Linked DNA regions of Stegostoma tigrinum. The protein of the gene in region 2 purifies or fractionates together with the protein of the main gene of each other region. This does not show direct contact. Links are inferred from orthologs where the notes say so. Each region holds a gene or a part of one and is shown on either strand. Other genes may lie near its edges.

Region 1 (10,569 bases), on a different chromosome or scaffold from region 2:
ACTGCGTCTCCCTCATTTCCTGCAACACATCCCTCACACCCCGTCCCGTTCCCCTGCAACTACAGGAAGTGCTACAGTTGCCCCCACACCTCCTCCCTCAGCCCCATCCCATGCCTCAAGATGACTTTCCATATTAAGCAGATGTTCACCTGCACATCTGCCAATGTAGTATACTGTATCCACTGTACCTGGTGTGGCTTCCTCTACATTGGGGAAACCAAGCGGAGGCTTGGGGACCGCTTTGCAGAACACCTCCGCTCGGTTCGCAATAAACATCTGCACCTCCCAGTCGCGAACCATTTTAACTCCCCCTCCCATTCCTTAGACGACATGTCCATCATGGGCCTCCTGCAGTGCCACAATGATGCCACCCAAAGGTCACAGGAACAGCAACTCATATTCCGCTTGGGAACCCTGCAGCCCAATGGTATCAATGTGGACTTCACAAGCTTCAAAATCTCCCCCTCCCCCCAGTGCATCCCAAAACCAGCCCAGCTTGTCCCCACCTCCCTAACCTGTTCTTCCTCTCACCTATCCCCTCCTCCCACCTCAAACCGCACCTCCATTTCCCACCTACTAACCTCATCCCACCTCCTTGACCTATCCCCTCCCCACCTCACCACCTATACTCTCCTCTCCACCTATCTTCTCCTCTATCCATTTTCGGTCCCCCTCCCCCTCTCTCCCCATTTATTCCAGAACCCTCTCCCCATCCCACTCTCTGATGAAGGGTCCAGGCCCGAAACGTCAGCTTTTGTGCTCCTCAGTTGCTGCTTGGCCTGCTGTGTTCATCCAGCTTCACACTTTGTTATATTGGATTCTCCAGCATCTGCAGTTCCCATTATCTCTGATCACAAATGTAATTTCTTCTTTATCACACCTGAAACTCTAAAACCTGGGACAATGAGCTGCCAGTCCTGCCTTTTTCTCAGCTGAATTTCTCCAATGGCTACAACATCGTAGTTCCATAGACTAATTCAGGATCTGAGCTCACCTGCCTCACCTGTTATACTCCTTGCATTAAAATCAAATATACTTCAGATCACCAGTCCTGCCATGTTTGTTAACCCTGAATTGTTTGATCGTCTTATTGGAATTACTTGACTTAACCTCTCCCTTCTACTGTGGTTTCCACCGCTTCCCCCAAACACTATCACTGACAATTCTTCTGGAGTGGTACGAGCAGACCTCCCTGCTCCTGGGAGGATATTGGCATCCCTCCCCTCCAGTTTAGGTGCAACTATTCTCCTCACACAAGTGCCCCCGACGTCGGAAGGGATCAAAATGATGCCAACATCTGAAGCCCTCCCTCCTACACCAGCTCTCTAGCCACACATTCATTTGATTTGATTTGATTTATTATTGTCATATGTATCTAAGTACAGTGAGAAGTTTTGTTTTGCGAGCAGTACAGGCAGATCCTAACAAACAAGGAAGTACAGATCTTAGGGTTCTTAGAGCGAGGCATACAAGGTGATGGTTGCAGAGGATGTGCACAAAGCAAGATCAACATGATTTGAAATTAGAGAGGTCCATTCAGAAGTCTAATAACAGCAGGGAAGATGTTCTTGAACCTGTTGGTGTGTATTTTCAAGTACCTGTATCTTCAATTAAAACTTACCAACTAATTAAAGAATTAACAGTATCTTAGGTTTGTTTAATACATTCTCATCAATTTGTGAGCCTTTGATCTTTTACTAATAAATTCTGTGTCTGATACTACCTCTCTCACTAACACCTGAAGGAGTAAGGCTTCGAAAGCTTGGGTTTTCCAGTAAACCTATTGGACTGTAACCAGTTGTCATTTGATTTCTGACCCTCTCCACCCCAATCTAACACCGGCACCTCCACATCATGGCTACTATTGACACCACCAACTGCTGGTTCAAAGTGGAGTGGATCTCGAGGAAGATTGTGCATATAGGCGCAGACATCAAGTTTCTACAGAAATGTAAGAAAGCACAAAAGGTCCTGACCTACAACACTGATGATGTTGAGAGATTTTGCTGTTGCACCTCTTTCAAAATCCTCAATCATCTTGTACACCAACTCTATAGCAAGCACCGTGGTCGTGAAATCAAGCTTGAAACTATATTCTCAGCTTGCACTTAAGATACAGCAGCACAGGTACAAGACACTGCCAAACATACGAGCCAATGGAACTACGCCAGCTTCATACACACCAAGAACAAGTTGCTGGAGAACCTTGACATCACCACCAGCAATAACCAAGTCTGCCCTGGTACCACCACAGGGAAAAACCATTGTCAACTTATCTGACCATCCCCTCTAAGCAGATGAGATTGAAATTCTCAGCTGAGGACTGAATTTCTGCCCCACCACCAAGATGAACTCCAGTGGTCTTGCGGCAGACACAGATGAATTTGTCAGAGGAATTCTTCTGAGATATCAGCAGTGATCCCAATTAGACAACTAATGAACCAAATCAATTGACAGAGATAGCCATGAGGGATTGGGCAAAGAAAGAGTCAAATTAGACCCCTCCAGAGGGCCGTTGCCCAGGGTTTGATGGTTATGCTTAAGGCTTCACAGAACGCACGAATGCCAGCTTCATCAGCCACACTCACAAGGTAGTGCAAAACATCACCCAGACACAGTGCAATGCCATCCAGGCTCTCAAGACCAATCACAACATTGCCATCAAACCAGCAGACAAAGGAAGATCCATTGTCGTACAGAATAGAACGCACTACTACAAGGAAGTGTACCGACAGCTGATCAATCAGGTACACTACAGACAACAACCTGTTGATCTGACCAAAGAACATACCTCTCAACTGAATAGACTGGTCAAGGCTTTTTATCCAGTGCTTCAGATGACCCTACACATTCTCATCCTGCGTACTTCACATGTAGGGGACTTCTACTACCTTCCAAAGATACGCAGCGCCTACACACCTGGACGTCCCATTACATCAGGCAATGGGACCCTGTGTGAGAACCTTTCTGGCTGTGTTGAGGGCATCATGAAACACATTGTACAAGAAATGCCCAGCTTCTGTTGCAACACTACAAGTTTCTTACAGAAAGTCAGCACCCATGGACCATTCGAACCAGGAACACTCCTGGTCCCAATGGTCATTTTGGCACTCTATACCAGCATCCCTCACAAAAATGGCATCACCACAGCAGCCTCAGTACTCAATACCAACAACTGCCAACTTCCAGATGCCCTACACCTCATTTGCTTCATCCTCGACCATAATATCTTCATCTTTGACAACCAGTTCTTCATCCAGACACATGGAACAGCCATAGGGACCAGATTTGCGCCCCAGTATGCCAACATTCTCATGCACAGGTTTGAACAAGACTTCTCTGCTGTACAGAACCTCCGACCAACACTATACACATACACTGATACATTGACAACATTTTCTTTCTTTGGACTCATGGTGAGGAATCACTGAAACAACTACATTGTGATACCAACAAGTTTTATCTCAGCATCAGACTTACCACAGACTACTCTTTAGAATCAGTGTCATTCTGGGACACACCCATCTCCATCAAGGATGGACACCCTCGTACCTCACTCTCTCGCAAGCTCACAGATAACCTCATGATGCCGCACTTCTCTAGCTTCCACTCCAAATATATTCAAACAGCCATCCCCGATTGACTAACCCTCCACGTACGCGGGATCTGTTTGGATGAGAGGAATGAGACAGACACCTGATGGTGTTGAAGGATGCCCTCATAGGAACAGGATATGATGCTCAACTCATCGGTCGCCAGTTCCAACATGCCACAGCAAAAAACCATAATGACCTTCTCAGAAGACAGATACGGGATAAACCTGATAGGGTGTCCTTCATTGTCTAGTACTTCTCGGGAGTGTAGAAACTACGCCATGTTCTTCACAACCATCAACACAACATCAATGACTATGAGTACCTTGCCAAGATCTTTCCCATGCCTCCACTTCTCACCTTCAAACAAATGCTGAACCTTAAGCAAACTATCCAGCCTTCAGGGCAACATCGAACACAACATCATGTAACCTTGTAATGGCAACCTCTGCAACACATATTACAGAACAATGAACCAGCTTGGTGAGCCAAACAACCACAACATCCACAACCCGAGCTACACATCTACTCTAAAACCATAGAGACACATCGCATCTTAGACATGGACACTACCACCACATGTGGGAACACCACCCACCGTGTGCATGGCGATACTCATGTGACTCAGCCAATGTTGTCTATCTTGTATGCTGCAGGCAAGGATGCTTCAAGGCATGGTATATTGGAGAAATCATGCAGACGCTACAAGAACAAATGAATGGACACCATGCAACAATCGCCAGACACAGATGCTTCCTCCCAATGGGGGAACACTTCACTGGTCAAGGACATTTGGCCTCGGATCTTTGGGTAAACATCCCTCAAGGCAGACTTTGGGATACACAACAACACAGAGTCACCGAGCAGAGGCTGATAGCGAAGTTTGGTTTCCATGGGGACATCCTCACCTGAGATCTTGGATTCATGTCGCGCTACAGGTGACCCCACCACACTATACACTCTCACACATGTTCATGCACTTACACAAACACTCACACACAGACACACACTCACACAGATCCTCTCATACACACAGTGTCTCTCTCACACACGCGCACGCGCATATGCGCATGCATGCACACTATCACATAGATCATCTCTCATGCACACACCGTCTCTCACACACACACACACACACACACACACACACACACACACACGTGAGGGTGTAGGTGTTTGCAGATACATTCTTTTTTTCAAAAAGCATGCAACTAAAAGACAGTCAATGTGGCATTATATAAATTGCTGCTTTAGAAATAAAACCAATCTAACTCCAAACCAAAACACAAACAGATTCTAAACAAGGCGCCACACATTACACGCATTGTCTGACCTAAAATATCACCTCTTTACGCTGATAAGATCTTTAGTTCTCTCAGGACAGTGACTTGAAAGGAATTTGGGGATTTACATATACATATTAATCAGTTAAAACCTCTTAACTGATTAAAGATGTAACAGCATCTTAGGTTTGTTTAATACATCCTCATCAACGGTGTGAGCTTTTGATCTTTTACTTATAAAGTCTGTGTCTGATACTACATCTCTCACTAACACCTGAAGAAGGACTATAACCTGGTGTGGTGTGTTTTCTGACCTTGTATACCTCAGTCCTTGAATACCTTGTACACACCAGTACCTACCTTATCCGGGCTTCCCTGATGACATTAAATCAAACTGATCCACAATGATGTATTTTGCCCAGAAACGGAAATTTTAATTTCCCGGCAATGTCATTTTCTGTCCCTTACCTTCGGAAAACGGGAAACCATCTGTGCAAAGTGAGCAGTATTTTGAAAAGGGAGTCGAAACGTTTTACAGGAATGTCACCACCGAGTAGCGGGCAAGGTTGGTCAGCACCGCAGAGGTTGGACAGCGATCTCCGGAAACAGCCGAACGAAGGAGAGCGGGCGCCGCTCCGGAAATAGCCGAGACTTGAAGCAAAGTGCAAATTATCGCCGCCGAGCGCACGTGGGACGACCGTACCTTGGCGGCCAATGAGAGGGCGTGATTGTGGCGGACGGTGCGCGCATGCGTCCCGGCTGGGCTTCCCTCTCCCCCCACCACGCAGAATGAATCCCTAATACGCGCATCAGAGGGAAAAAAACTAGCCAAGGTCATGAACTATGACCTCTGAAGGAAAGAACGTGGTACTAAAAGCAACGAAATAAGGGTTTTTTTAAACAGGTAAGCGCTGTTGTACGATGGCTCACTTTAGCTGCCGTGGTGTCGATTTAAACCTTCGTTGGGGGGGGGTGAGGGGAACAACCCGGTTTCATCCTGAGGGAAAGGGCCCAGGGCTTGCGGGGCTCAAGCTCAGCTGCCAGCAGCGGGCAGGCGGGAGACTCACTGCCAAGGCAGCACGGGGGTGAGTGGGGGATCTCGGCGACGACGACTTTGCCGCCGCTGCCCTTCCCTCCCCCAACCCCACAAAAAAATCCGACCTCCAGAACGACAGCAGCAGTGATTGACGACTGGCCTCAGCCAATCAGACCCTCTGGACGGCAGGGGATCAGCCAATCCGCTCAGGCTGTGGGCTCCGTCTGATCGGTGCATTGGCCGCCCTCCTGTGGCGGTGCTCTCGGATGGTATGCTGACTTCTATGTGCGCGTTGGTTTGTTTTACTGAGGTGACAGGATGCAGAACGTTTCACTCTGTTCCGCTCAACTGCCTCATCCCAACACACCTGGTGTAAGGAATCTGCCTTTATATTTTTGTAGCTTTAAAGAACTTGGACAGCAATAAGAAAGGGTGATATGGTGACTCAGTGGTTAGCACTGCTGCCTTGCAGCGCCAGGGACCCAGATTAAATTCCACCCTCGGGCAACTGTCTATGTGGAGTTTGCATATTCTCCCTGTCTCTGTTTTCTCCAAAAGTCCAAAGATGTGCACGTTACATGGATTGGCCATGCTAATTTGCCCATTGTGTCCAGTGATGTGGAGGTGTAGGATGTGCAGTGAGTCTGGGTGGGATGGCGTTTAGAAGGTTGGTTTGGACGTGGCTGAATGGTCTGTTCCCACACTGCAGTTCTTTCATAGAATCCTATTCTTAAAATCAGATTTCCCAGAATTTCACAGCAAATAATTGAATTGTGTTGTGAACTCTGGTTTTTATGGCTGTGGCTTGCTGCAGTGTTCAGATGATCAGGTGCCAAGGAGTTGTACAACAGAAGCTGAGACTGGTTCTCAGCTAACTGAGAAGGTTGGAACTGGATACAAGTTATAGATGCACAGGTACGCGCGTGCGCGCACACACACACACACACACACACACACACACATGTATATAAAGGTACAGATATCTGTGCAGATGTTTATTTCTCTGCAGTAAAAGAAAAACTTCTGAACTGAAAAATCAGAGACATTTTACTAATGAGCCACCACTGTATCAACAACAGACAAGTGCAAATATCCATCGAAGTAGGGGTTCAGGTACATAAATCTTTGAAATGTGCATCACAAGTAGACAGGATGGTTAAAGTGTTGCTCAGACCTTTGAGTCTAGAAGTTGGGATGTCATGTTGACAGGCAGTGGTGAGGCCTCCTCTGGAGTACTGTGTACAGTTCTGGCCACCCTGGTATAGGAAGGATTTTGTTAAACTGGAGAGGAGTTTACCAGGATATTGCCAGGAATGGAGGAAACATGATATAAAAATAGAGTGGAAAGGCTGGGATGTTTTTCACCTGGAGTGTAAGAGGTTGAGGGTTAACTTTATAGAGGTTTATAAAATCATGAATGGCATAGATAAGTTGAATGACAAGGGTGTTTTCCCTGAGGTGGAGTTGAAAACTAGGAGGCATATTTTTAAGGTGAGAAGGAAAAGATTTAAAAAGGACGTGAGAGGCAACATTTTTGGACAGACAGTGGTGTGAGTGGAATGAGCTGTCAGAGAAAATGGAATCAGGTACAGTTACGACATTTAAAAAGCATTTAGATGTTCATGAATAGGAAAGGTTTCGAAGGTGGGATTAGTTTAGTTTGGGAACGTGGCTGGCGTGGACTGGTTTGATTGAAGGGTCTGTTTCCAAACTCTATGACTGTGATTCATTTGTCAAATAAAACATTTAGTTTGTTTCGCAATTACTTTTCTGTTTATGCGAGCAGTTTGGTAACATGTGCTATGTACAATTGTTGATTGAACAGTAGGAAGCATAGGGCAGAATGGAAAATGCTCCAGGCTTGTGCCTTGTAAGTAGTTGTCAGGATGAGAGTTATTTGCTGGAGGATTCCAATTGCAGAACTAATATTTATGTGTCTAGTCTAAATATTAATGCCAAGATGCTGATTGGAGGGAGGGCATGGTTAAAGATGATGATTAGATTCTGCTGGTGGCAAGATGTTTATTACCTGTCACCTGTGTTATGTGAAGCTTTGTTTCTTTCCCAGTTCTGGATATTTTGCAGATCCTGCTGCATTTGGACTGTTTCAGTGTCTGACGAGTCACAAATGGTGCTGAACATTGCATAATCATCAAAAATACTTCCACTTCTGACTCATGATAGTGAGAAGGTCTTGGTAAAGCAACTGAGTGTGTTTGGGCCTGGGATACTAAGCTGAGGAACTCCTGCAGTGATATACTCGAGCTGAGATAACTGGCCTCTAACAACTACAGCCGTCTTCCTTTGTGCTAAGTATTAAGCCCAGCAGCGGAGAGGTTTTCATTAGTTTCCATTTTCTGTAGTCGTGTTTGATGCTACATTGGTCAAATATGACCTTAATGTAGTGTGATGGGGGGATATACAAGTAGGGACCGTGCCACCTGACATGGGAAATGGAGAGAATGGATGAATCAGATAGGGATATGAATTGTGGGTTTGTTGAGGAGTTCGGTGAGAGGAGAGGCTGGAGAATCGGGGGATGAAGGGGAGAGCAGGACATTATTGGGCAGATTGATGTGATAATTGAGGTATTGGAGGCTTTGGGGGAATTTAAATGTGGAAAGATCTCCAGGTCCAGATGAGTTGAATCACAGACTGCTGTGGAGGATGAGAGAGGAAATTACTAGGACCTTGATCCAAATTTACAAATCATCTCTGAACACGAGAGGTGCTAGTGAACTGCAGAACAGCTAATGTGGTTCCATTTTTCAAGAAGAGTAGTAGAAAGAAACCAAGGAATTATAGAGCAGTGAGTCTAAAATTGGTGGGGGAATGTTGGAGGAAATAATGATGGAGGAAATTGATCTCCACTTAGAAAGGCGAGGTTTGATCAAGACATTCAGCATGACTTTTTCATTGGGCGGCTTTGTCATACCTAACAACTCTGGAGTTTTGAGGACTAACTAAGTGTACGGTTGAGGGTAGGGCAGTTGAAGTAGTTTATATGGATTTCAGCAAGGCCTTTTCCAACCCTTCAAAGCAATAAAAGCCAACATTCTATCTGCCTTCTTAATTATTTACTGCACCTGGTTACATACACAAGAACATACAAGTCCCTTCGTGTGGCATTTCTTTGGCATCTCTCCTTTTTAAATATTAATTTTGCTTCTTCCTACCAAAGTGCATGACCTCCTACTTTCCTACATAATATTTCTCCTGCCAAGGCTTTGTCCTCCCACTCAGTCTACCTCCATGCTTTGCAGATTCATTTTGTCAACATCACAACATGCCACATCTTGTATCATCAGTTGACTACATTTATTGGTTCCTAGTTAGGAACTAGCCTTACTACTTCTATTAAGTAACCTTATCAATGTCTTTTGGAAATACAAATATACTACAGCTACTGGTTCCCCTTTATCTATCCTGCTTCTTACTTTCTCAAAGAACTGTAATAAATTTGCCAGGCATGATTTTCCCTTCCCAAAGCCCTGACTTTGCTTAATTTTGTTATATGCTACCAAATGTCCTGTTGTTACATCCTTAGTAATAAGTTTTAACATTTTCCTAATGACAGATGTTAAATTAACAGACCTATAGTTACCTGGTTTTTCTTACCTTCCCTTTTGGAATAAGGGTATTAAATTGACATATTCCCCAAATCTCTGGAACTTTTCCTCTAATCTAAAGACTCAGTTCTGATGGGCAGAAACAAATTTAAGGCTCTCTGCCATCATTTGGTATCTCCCACTGATCTACTCTTCCCTTTGTAAAACTGCCGGGCCGGCCATTCACCCGACTTGTTTCAGAACTGGCTGTGGACATCGTCAATTTTGATGAAGGAAGGAATGCTTTACGAAGGAAACAAGTGGAACCTCACCTTAATCCTGTGAAGTAGCCTGTTCAATGTAAATTACAGTAGGTGCCCAATTATCTGTTTGGGATTAGTGTATCCATTCTTATTATATGAACTTCCATTCATCATAGTTTGGGACCAATTTCAACTTAACATTGAACTACTGACAGAACTACTGACAGAAATACTACGAAAGGGCATGGGGGGTCAGGTTGGGGAGTAGCTGGTTAGAGCAGTTAAAATGTTTTTTTTGACATCACTGAATCAGATACAGAAGAGGCTAAAATATACCATTATCTACACTAGTTCCAATTCCTGCACAAGACCATGAATCTCAAATATTATGACACTTTCAAGTGCTTGTACTTTTTAAAGATGGTCGGGTTCCTTGCCTCACCTACTCTCCCAGGCAGTGCATTCCAAAACTTCACCACCTTCTAGGTGAAGGACCTTTATCCTCAAATCCCCTCTAAACCTCCTGCCTTTCAGTTTACAATCATGTACAGCTATTAGATCTGCCCAACCACCCCCACCCCATCTGCTCTCCTCCAAAAGAACACAAGCCGAGTTATCCAATCTCTTTTTATAGCCGAATACTCCATCCCAGGCAATACCCTGGTGAATCTCCTTTGCACCCTCTCCAGGGCAATCACATCCGTCCTGCAGTGTGGTATCCAGAAATGCACACAATACTCTTGTTATGGCCTAACCAAAGCTCTGTACAGATCCAACATGACTACCTTGCTCTTACATTTATGAGAGAACTGATAAAAGGCGTCTAATATACTTTAACTCCCCTAT
Region 2 (11,138 bases):
TTTCAAGCCTAAACCCTTCTTCAGAAATTGGGGAGGGAAAGGGGTTTCTGAAATAAACAGGGAAAGATGGGGAGGCGGATCAAAGATGGATAGAGGAGAAGATAGGTGGAGAGGAGACAGACAGGTACGAGAGAGTTGCAGTGGGAAAGACATCCACTGAGGTTTGGGCACCATCTCTGGGCCTGCCCTACTGTTGTTGATATTTGCTTCTGAATGGTAGATAGAGTTGTGGCAGTCCTGGTGAATAGTTTGGTGCCAACACAGGACTACCCCTTCACCCCAGGAACAGTTGAGGCCACAACACCAGACCATGTCAGCCTGGTGAGAGGCTTCCACCCAAGTTAAAGCAGGGTCAGCCATGTGAAGGAAGGCCCAGCACTGTGGGAAGAATGCTAATGTCCTCTATCGCTGTGTCAGTGTGTCACCATCTTCTCTTTGATACTGACACTCACTCTACCATTGAAACTACACCCAATAAAGTTTATGCTCCACAACTCTATTGCCTGCAACATTGAGAGGAGGCAATGGCCTAGTGGTATTATTACTGGTCTATTAATCCAGAGATGTTCTGATGATGTTCTGGAGATACTGGTTTGAATCCCGCCACGGCAGTTGGTGGAATTTCAATTCAATAAATATTTGGAATTAGCAATCTAATGATGACTGTGAATCCATTGTTGATTGTCGGAACAACCCATCTGGTTCACTGATGCCCTTTAGGGAAGGAAACTGCCATCCTTACCTGATCTAGCCAACATGTTACTCCAGACCCACTGCAATGTGGTTGACTCTTAACTGCCCTCTGGACAATTAGGGATGGGCAATAAATGCTGCCTAGCCATTGACACCCTCATCCTATGAATAAATGAAGAAATAAATCTTCCCTCAATCACTTTCACCCACTCCAGCCCATGTCACCATTAACCATGCATACCATTTGCCCTCCTTACCCAACATTTCAGGCTGCCTCCCCACTGGGTTTGGCAGTAATGGTGTTATCCATTTTCATCTTCCATAATACCTACGTTCCTCTCATTACATGAGGAAATAGCCGACAAAAGAGTAGAAAGAATCAAGATGAGTGTTCATCACTTACAAAGACAGTATCCTGACTCTAGCTAGGCCTGAACTGGTATCCATGATGTAGAGATGCCAATGTTGGTCTGGGGTGTGCAAGGTCAGAAATCACATGAAACCATGTTATAGTCCAACAGGTTTATTTGAAAACACAAGCTTTCAAAGCCTCACTCCTTCTTGAGGTGTCAGAAAGAGTGAGGCTCCGAAAGCTTGTGTTTTCAAATAAACCTGTTAGACTATAACTGTGTTGTATGATTTCTGACCTTGAACTGGTATCAGAGGCTGCTATTAACCTGTAGTGCTAGGATCCACGGAAGGAAGGCTATACCTCCTTGACTTGACTGAGGCCTGCTGACAACTATGACAAGCTTCCTGGCCTTGTATCTATGATAAATGACCATGTATCTATGTTGCACGACAGCAGTAATATGAGTTCTCGTATTTCTGGTTGAGAGGGCACAGTGCAAAAAGGCAAAGTAACACAATGCGAGATTGCTGTAAGCATCCAGGCAGATGTATAGTGAGTGAGTGCTGTGACAGTGAAGAACCCAGAGATGTGACTTGGTCCAATCCACAACTTGGGTCCATGTCCAATCTTTCTCCAAAACGACAATTTTTCTGCTCCTTTAACGCTGCCTGGCCTGATGTGCCCCTTCAACTCTACTCTGTATTATCTATTTCTCCATAATTCATGTGTCTTATCCCTGAAACCATTCCCATAAACTTGTTCTGCAGTCTCTCTGATGCATTCACATCTTTCCTATAGAGTAGCACCCAAACCATTGTAGTGCCACAATGATCCAGTTGAGGTTGAAACAGGGTCTTATATAAGTTCATTATTACCTCCCTGCTTTTGTACTCTATGTCCCCATTTATGAAGTATAGAATACTGCATGCTTTATCAATAGCTCTTTCTCCTTTAATTACTTACATACATATACACTCAGTCCGCTGCTTCTGCACAGCCTTTAGAATAGCATCCTTTATTTCATATTGTTTCTCCATGTACTTTGTACCAAACTGCATCAGCTCACATTTCTCAACATTGAACTTCATCTGTGAATTCCACCAATGTGTAAAGGTCCCTTTTGAAGTTTGACATTGTCCTTCTCACAGTTTACAATTGTCCCAAGTTTTGTGTTGTCCATAATTTTTGAAGTTGCCCCTGTACACCATGATCTAGATCAGGAAAAGTAAATGTCCCAGTACCAACTACTAGGGAACTCAAGTACAACATTTTTTCAACATGAAAAATAGCCATTAATCAAAACTATGTTTAAATCCTTTGGCTGATTTAGTATCTATGTTGCTATTGTCCATATTATTCTATAACAAAAACATTTCTCATAAGTCTATTATGGCACTGGCACTATTGATCATCTTTTGGAAATCCATGTATACCAAACCAAGTCTTGGTCTTGTCAACTCTATTATTGCTTCAAAAAACTCAAGCAAGTGGGTTAGACACAATTTACCCTCAACAACTTCATGGTGACTCTTCCAAATCAATCTACATTTTCCACATAACTATTAATTCTATCCCAAATAATTGTGTTTAGAAGTTTCCCCTCCACTGAGGTTAAATTGGCTGAATTGTAATTGCCAAAGTGAACTTTACAGGTGTTTTTGACCAGGGAGTAATGTATGTGATTCTCTGATGCTCTGGCAGCACTCCTGAGTCCAGGAAGATTGAAAGTTAATTGCCAGTGCTTCTGCAAAATCCATTCTTATTTCCTTAAATATTCTTGAATGCATTTCATCAGGTCAAGCTGCCTTATCAACTTTAAATACAGTTTATCTAATACCTTCACCTGATCAATTTTAAACCCTTTCAGTGACTGAGTTTCTTCTCCCATTGCGGCCTGGGCAGCATCTGCCTCACAGGTAAGAAAGTGGTTTAACATTTCAGTCATGCCTCTTGCCTCTCGATGTAAATGAAGTTGTGAATGGTGCTGAGCATTGTTCAATCGTCAGCAAACGTCCTCATTTCTGACCATGTGACGGAGGGAAGCTCGTTGATGAAGTAGCTGAAGATGGTTCGGTATAGGACACTACTCTGAGGAACTCCTGTAAAGATGTCCTGGAGCTGAAATGACTGACCTCCAACAACCACAACCATCTTCTCATATGCCAGATATAACTCCAAATAATGGAGAGTTTTCCCCCTGATTTCCATCAACTTCAGTCTTGTTGTAGTTCCTTGATGCCAAACTTGGTGAAGTGCAGCCGTGATGCGAAGGGTTGTCACTCTCACCACGTCTATGGAATTCAGCTCTTCTGTTCAGGTTTGAACCAAAGCTGTAATGAGGTCAGGAGCTGAGTGCATTCTTTTATGCAAGTGTCATGTTGACATTTTTGCAATTAAAACATTTGTATTAGCTAAATGAAAAGAATCACTTATTACCTCATTACATGTCAACTATGAAGAACAGTCTGAAGCTCAGGTGACAGATTTAAACTGAAAAGGATACCGAATTAGAATTTCTTCAAGGAAGGAGGTCTGTACACTGTGATGGGTTCATAATTGCGGTCTTAATTGATGTAGCATGAGCTGTGGTGCAAGGAATTCGGTATAGGAAGTCATGTACTTAAATGATTATTTTCTGTATAAAAGGTGCTACAGGTTTTCCTGGCATGCAGCTTGATGGACTCAGCATCAGTGGGACTTTTGGATGGTCCCCGTCCTCTGGGGAAGATGAGAAATCTTTTCTTTATTTATTCATTCGTGGGATATGGGTGTTACTGACTGGTCAAAATTTATTGCCAGCCCCTTGCAGCCTTTAAGAAGGTGGTGCTAAGCTGCCTTCTTGAACCACTACAGCCATATGCTGCAGGTAGACCCATGATGCTATTAGGGAGGGAATTCCAGAATTTGTATCCAGCAACAGTGAAAGAACTGCAATACATTTCCAAGTCAGGACAGTGAGTGGTTTACAGGGGAGCTTGCAGATGGTCGCGTTCCTATGCATCTGCTGCCCTTGACCTTCTAGCAAGAAGCACTTATGGGTTTGGACGGTGCTGCCTAAGGATCTTTGGGGAATTTCTGCAGTGCCACTTGTAGATAGTTCACACTGCAGCTACTAAGTGTAAGTGATGGATGGTACGGATGCTTGTAGATATTGTGCCCATCAAGCAGACTACTTTGTACTTGATGATGGCAAGCTTGAGTGATGGTGGAGCTGCAGTCATCCAGGCAAGTGGGAATATTTCATCGTACTCCTGATTTGCCCTGTCTTCCTGATGGTGGATAGGCTCTGGGGAGTCAGGAGGTCAGTTACTCATTCTGGTATTCCTAGCTTCTGACCCCCTGTAGTAGCCACTGTATGGTAAGTCCAGTTAAGTTTCTGGTCAGTGGTAATGCTTGGATGTTGATAGTGAGGGATTCAGTAATGAAAACACCATTGAATGTCAACTGAATTGAAATGAATTAGCTTTATTGTCTCATGTTCTCACATTAGTACAATGAAAAGTTTACAAGTTGCCACTTTAGGTGCCATCTTAGGTAGAAAGATACCTATGTACAGATTCTTGGGTAAAAATTATTAAGGAAAGAAAAGGGAAATAAAAAGTCCAGCTTTACAGCCTAGCAAAAGCATAAAATCATTGTAATAAATTTGGAAAAAAAGATAAACATTCAAAATAACAATCCTTCCATAATAATACAATAAGAGAAAAATATAAAAAATTAGAATTTAAGACAAGGTTCACTTAGTCCATCTTATGTTTCTGGGCTCGAGGATCCGAACCCCCGTTGTAATCCCAAGCTGGACACACCATGATGCTGAAGAAGATGCTGAAGAAAATGCTGCTTAGTGTCTCAAGCTGACTGAAGCTGCTACAAGGAGAGCCAGACCAACAATGACGAAAACAGCAACCTAAGCAGCTGAAAAGAGTCCCAGGCTACCGCCAAAGTTGCTTAAAGGAATCCCAGTGGCAGTTGTTAGATTATCTCTTACTGGAAGTGATTATTGCCTGGCATTTCTGTACTGCGAATGTTGCTTACCACTTGCCTCCTTTTCCTGTTGGTTAGAATGCACTGCACTATAACTATATCCAAGATGCTTGAAGTGCTGTATTAAAAGTTATCTCCAGACCAATCAAGGCAACAGGATCACATTTTCAGCAAGCCAATGGCCTACTGATTAGTTGTTCTGGATGTCAAAAGACTATGGCTGTATCTGTTGTGATCTTGTGTTTTGGTTCCGCACTGACATTCCCAGCCATTTTTTCAAAGGATACCTCATTGTTACCCAGGAGTCATCCAGAGAGGCTGACTGGTTCTACCTAACTATGATTGCACACGAAAATGAAATGCCGGAGAAACTCAACAGGTTTGGCAGCAAAGTTAATGTTTTGAGTCCATTATGGCTCACCTTACTATGACTTGTATCTGGGAACTATGCACGCATGCAAGGTTCCTTTACGGTGGTATACTAACTGCATATGGAAGTAGCGGAATTTCTTTAAATCTAGGAACACATTGCTGATGTGACAGTGCCTTAACTGCTACATGGGTACAGCCTATCGTATTGACTTGAAGGAATCCGGCCTTGGAAATGAAATTATACCTGCTTTTAAAGAGGCAGTTTGGTTCAATGTTTTCAACTGATGTCCATTGGATAAATCAAAATGATCACAAACGTCATTATGATGATTTTGACTTTCAACAAACACATTGCTTTGGTGGAAATTACATTTTTTGTTCCGTTATTAGTTCTCCTGTGGATGCATTTGGATCGTTTAAAAAGGTATTTGTGAAGAAATCAGTCAAGTTAACATTTCAGAGTTGGAGCCTTCATCTTTTCATAAACTGCAGGGTTCGTACTTGCTTTCCATCAAGTCTGTGCTAAGATGGGCTCTTCTCAGACAGAATATCTAATAGAAAATGGTCACAAATCTCTTTGTCAGGTGAATTCTGCAACGATAAAAAGTGTAAAATATTGGGAAAGAATATAAGACCGTAATTGTTTTATTCATTTGTGGGATGCGGGCATCGCTGGCTGGACAGCGTTTCTTGCCTATCCCTAGTTGCCCTTGAGAAGGTGGTGGTGAGCTGCTTTTTGAATCGCTGCAGTCCTCCTGCTGTGGGTCAACCCACAATACCTATTAAGGAGGGAATTCCCAGATTTTGACTCAGCAACAGTGAAGGAACGGCAATATATTTCCAAGTCAGAATAGTGAGTGACTTGAAGAGGAACTTGGACGTGACAGTGTTCCCATATATCTGCTGCCCTTGTCCTTCTAGATGGAAGTGGTGCTGTCTGAGGATCTTGGGTGAATTTTTGCAGTATATCTTGTAGCTAGTACACACAATCGCAATTTTGGTTTATGCTTATGGTTTTGCCAACGAGCAAAGTCTCAGAAAAAAATGGAAATTCCGGAGGATTTGCCCAACTTTTACATCTTTGATTTCTGTTTTGAGACGAGTGAATGAAATTTGCACATTACTTCTTCTTGTATTGTGTATTTTCATGAAATTAATGATTTAACTTGGGAGTAAAATAAAACGCTTTTTAAAGTTAACGCCGATGCAAGTGGAGTTAGCGGTCTGGTTTGTGAAAGGTGCTGTAGGTGAGTCTGTGTCTCCCACCACATCCCCCACCCAGCCCTCCCCTCTCTCACTCCGTGTCCCCGCCCCTGGCCCGATCCCTCCCTCCCTCCCTCCCTCCTGCTGCCTGGACCCATGTAGCACCATGACAGGGATCGCCGCCGCCTCCTTCTTCTCCAATACCTGCCGCTTCGGGGGATGCGGGCTGCAGTTCCCGACCCTGGGGGAGCTCATCGAGCACATCGAAGACAACCACATAGGTAGGCGGGCTGGGAAGAGGGCAGGCGGGCGGCCGGCCAGGCGGATGGGGGCAGCGCCCCGCTGGCAGCAGGGGCTCGCGTGGAGCCGGCCCCGGCCCGCCCCTCGGTCCTGGGGGAGAGAGATTTGGGAGGCACTGCCACCGGGGTTCTGCTCCCCACAATCCCCCGCCCCCGACACACACCTTTCCCCTTCCCACCGGGGAGCATGGCTGCCCGATCAGGATCCGCGGGGGCTCCCGCCCACAGGCCGCGTCCGAGGCAGATCCGCACACGACCACACCCCCAGCACGATTCTCCTCTCTCCACTCCCCCGACTCCGGGCGGCCGGCCAGCCAGCCGGCCATTCGCTCGCTCGTCCGCGGCCTTTGGTCCCAGCTCCCGGGAGGGGGGAGGGGAGAGGGCCCCGTGGTGTCACTTTGAAGCCTGGGCCGAGCGAGGTCACTTCACTGCTGTCATGGCAACGGCTGCAGGATCCGGGCCTATAGCCAGAAGCCGCTATCCGGGCGGGGCTTGGGGAAGGGGGTAGCAGTGTGAGTAGGGTGTGGCTGTGTACAGGGAGGGTGGGGGAGGGGTGTGAGTGGGTGCGGTTAGGGGGCCGGGAAGGGTGGTGGAGAGGGAGGAAGGATGTGCAGTGGGGAGGGGGCGAAGGATGTGCAGTGGGGAGGGGGCGAAGGGTGTGAAGTGGTGTGGGTGTGAAGTAGGGGGAAGGAGTGAAGTGGAGCTGTGTATAGTAGGGATTGGGGGAGGAGGGAGTGTACTAGGGGGCAGGTGTGTGAGTAGTGGAGGGTTCTGACTGGGAGGGAGGGTTCTGATGGGGGGGGGAGAAAGGGGGAGGGTGCGGGTAGGCGGGGATGTAGCGGGTGCGGGGGGGGAGAGGGGGAGGGAAGGCGGGGGGGGGAAGAGAGGGGAAGGGAAGGCGGGGGGGGGAGAGAGGGGGAGGGAAGGCGGGGGGGGGGAGAGAGGGGGAGGGAAGGCGGGGGGGGGGAGAGAGGGGGAGGGAAGGCGGGGGGGGGGAGAGAGGGGGAGGGAAGGCGGGGGGGGGGAGAGAGGGGGAGGGAAGGCGGGGGGGGGGAGAGAGGGGGAGGGAAGGCGGGGGGGGGGAGAGAGGGGGAGGGAAGGCGGGGGGGGGGAGAGAGGGGGAGGGAAGGCGGGGGGGAGAGAGGGGGAGGGAAGGCGGGGAGGGAAGGCGGGGGGGGAGAGGGGGAGGGAAGGCGGGGGGGGGAGAGAGGGGGTCGGGGGGGAGAGAGGGGGGGGGGAGAGAGGGGGGGGGAAGGCGGGGGGGGGAGAGAGGGGGTGGGGGGGGAGAGAGGGGGAGGGAAGGCGGGGGGGGAGGGAAGGCGGGGGGGGAGAGAGGGGGAGGGAAGGCGGGGGGGGGAGAGAGGGGGAGGGAAGGCGGCGGGGGGGAGAGAGGGGGAGGGAAGGCGGGGGGGAGAGAGGGGGAGGGAAGGCGGGGGGGAGAGAGGGGGAGGGAAGGCGGGGAGGGAAGGCGGGGGGGGAGAGGGGGAGGGAAGGCGGGGGGTGGGGAGAGAGGGGGAGGGAAGGCGGGGGGGGAGAGAGAGGGGGAGGGAAGGCGGGGGGGGAGAGAGAGGGGGAGGGAAGGCGGGGGGGAGAGAGGGGGAGGGAAGGCGGGGAGGGAAGGCGGGGGGGGAGAGGGGGAGGGAAGGCGGGGGGTGGGGAGAGAGGGGGAGGGAAGGCGGGGGGGGAGAGAGAGGGGGAGGGAAGGCGGGGGGGGGAGAGAGGGGGAGGGAAGGCGGGGGGGGGAGAGAGGGGGGGGAAGGCAGGGGGGGGAAGGCGGGGGGGGGAGGGAAGGCGGGGGGGGAGAGAGGGGGAGGGAAGGCGGGGAGGGAAGGCGGGGGGGGGAGAGGGGGAGGGAAGGCGGGGGGGGAGAGAGGGGGAGGGAAGGCGGGGGGGGGAGAGAGGGGGAGGGAAGGCGGGGGGGGGAGAGAGGGGGGGAAGGCAGGGGGGGGAAGGCGGGGGGGGAGAGGGGGGGGGAAGGCGGGGGAGGGAAGGCGGGGGGGGGAGAGGGGGGGGGAAGGCGGGGGAGGGAAGGCGGGGGGGGGGAGGGGGGGGGGGAAGGCGGGGGAGGGAAGGCGGGGGGGGGGAGGGGGGGGGGAAGGCGGGGGAGGGAAGGCGGGGGGGGAGAGAGGGGGAGGGAAGGCGGGGGGGGAGAGAGGGGGAGGGAAGGCGGGGGGGGAGGGAAGGCGGGGGGGGGAGAGAGGGGGAGGGAAGGCGGGGGGGGGAGAGGGGGAGGGAAGGCGGGGGGGGGAGGGGGAGAGAGGGGGAGGGAAGGCGGGGGGGGGAGAGAGGGGGAGGGAAGGCGGCGGGGGGGAGAGAGGGGGAGGGAAGGCGGGGGGGGAGAGAGGGGGAGGGAAGGCGGGGGGGGGAGGGGGAGAGAGGGGGAGGGAAGGCGGGGGGGGAGAGAGGGGGAGGGAAGGCGGGGGGGGGAGAGAGGGGAGGGAAGGCGGGGGGGGGAGAGAGGGGGAGGGAAGGCGGGGGGGGGAGAGAGGGGAGGGAAGGCGGGGGGGGGGAGAGAGGGGGAGGGAAGGCGGGGGGGGGAGAGAGGGGGAGGGAAGGCGGGGGGGGGAGAGAGGGGGAGGGAAGGCGGGGGGGGGAGAGAGGGGGAGGGAAGGCGGGGGGGGGAGAGAGGGGGAGGGAAGGCGGGGGGGAGGGGGGAGAGGGAAGGCGGGGGGGAGAGGGGGAGGGAAGGCGGGGGGGAGGGGGGAGAGGGAAGGCGGGGGGGAGAGGGGGAGGGAAGGCGGGGGGGGAGGGGGGAGCGAAGGCGGGGGGGGGAGAGGGGGAGGGAAGGCGGGGGGGGGAGAGAGGGGGAGGGAAGGCGGGGGGGGGAGAGAGGGGGAGGGAAGGCGGGGGGGGGAGAGAGGGGGAGGGAAGGCGGGGGGGGGGGAGGGAAGGCGGGGGGGGGGAGGGAAGGCGGGGGGGGAGAGAGGGGGAGGGAAGGCGGGGGGGGGCGAGGGAAGGCGGGGGGGGGAGGGAAGGCGGGGGGGGAGAGAGGGGGAGGGAAGGCGGGGGGGGGAGAGGGAAGGCGGGGGGGGGAGAGGGAAGGCGGGGGGGAGAGGGGGAGGGAAGGCGGGGGGGGAGAGGGGGAGCGAAGGCGGGGGGGGGAGAGGGGGAGGGAAGGCGGGGGGGGAGAGAGGGGGAGGGAAGGCGGGGGGGGGAGGGAAGGCGGGGGGGGAGAGAGGGGGAGGGAAGGCGGGGAGGGAAGGCGGGGAGGGAAGGCGGGGAGGGGAGAGGGGGAGGGAAGGCGGGGGGGGAGAGAGGGGGAGGGAAGGCGGGGGGGGGAGGGAAGGCGGGGGGGGAGAGAGGGGGAGGGAAGGCGGGGAGGGAAGGCGGGGAGGGAAGGCGGGGAGGGGAGAGGGGGAGGGAAGGCGGGGGGGGGGAGAGGGGGAGGGAAGGCGGGGAGGGAAGGCGGGGGGGGGGGGGAGAGGGGGAGGGAAGGCGGGGGGGAGAGGGGGAGGGAAGGCGGGGGGGGGGAGGGGGAGAGAGGGGGAGGGAAGGCGGGGGGGGGAGAGAGGGGGAGGGAAGGCGGGGGGGGGAGAGAGGGGGAGGGAAGGCGGGGGGGAGAGGGGGAGGGAAGGCGGGGGGGGGAGAGAGGGGGAGGGAAGGCGGGGGGGAGAGGGGGAGGGAAGGCGGGGGGGGGAGGGGGAGAGAGGGGGAGGGAAGGCGGGGGGGGGAGAGAGTGGGAGGGAAGGCGGGGAGAGGGGGAGGGAAGGCGGTGGGGGGAGAGGGGGAGGGAAGGCGGGGGGGGAGGGAAGGCGGGGTGGGGAGGGAAGGCGGGGGAGGGAAGGCGGGGGGGGGGGAGAGGGGGAGGGAAGGCGGGGGGGGAGAGGGGGAGGGAAGGCGGGGGGGGAGAGGGGGAGGGAAGGCGGGGGGGGGAGAGAGGGGGAGGGAAGGCGGGGGAGGGAAGGCGGGGGGGGGAGAGGGGGGGGAAGGCGGGGGGGGAGAGGGGGGGGAAGGCGGGGGGGGGGAGAGAGGGGGGGGGAGGGGGGGGGAGAGAGGGGGGGGAGGGGGGGGAGAGAGGGGGGGGGAAGGCGGGGGGGGAGAGGGGGGGGGAGGGGGGGGAGAGAGGGGGGGGGAGGGGGGGGAGAGAGGGGGGGGGAGGGGGGGGAGAGAGGGGGGGGGAAGGCGGGGGGGGGAGAGAGGGGGTGGGGGGGGAGAGAGGGGGAGGGAAGGCGGGGGGGGAGAGAGGGGGAGGGAAGGCGGGGGAGGGAAGGCGGGGGGGGAGAGGGGGAGGGGGA

The links.
Region 1: the proteins of jazf1b (region 2) and nuclear receptor subfamily 2 group C member 2-like purify together in Homo sapiens (affinity purification with mass spectrometry; 4 studies listed by BioGRID and IntAct, with this or other methods). This does not show direct contact. The link is inferred for Stegostoma tigrinum from reciprocal best matches to the Homo sapiens genes JAZF1 and NR2C2.

The regions. Positions count from the first base shown.
Region 1 is NC_081364.1:68,468,933-68,479,501, forward strand, and holds the start of nuclear receptor subfamily 2 group C member 2-like, read left to right. Parts: upstream 1-5,627; 5' UTR 5,628-5,780; intron 5,781-10,569. UniProt on the Homo sapiens protein: Orphan nuclear receptor that can act as a repressor or activator of transcription.
Region 2 is NC_081355.1:58,588,406-58,599,543, reverse strand, and holds the start of jazf1b (juxtaposed with another zinc finger protein 1b), read left to right. Parts: upstream 1-6,747; 5' UTR 6,748-6,770; coding exon 6,771-6,885; intron 6,886-11,138. UniProt on the Homo sapiens protein: Acts as a transcriptional corepressor of orphan nuclear receptor NR2C2. Inhibits expression of the gluconeogenesis enzyme PCK2 through inhibition of NR2C2 activity.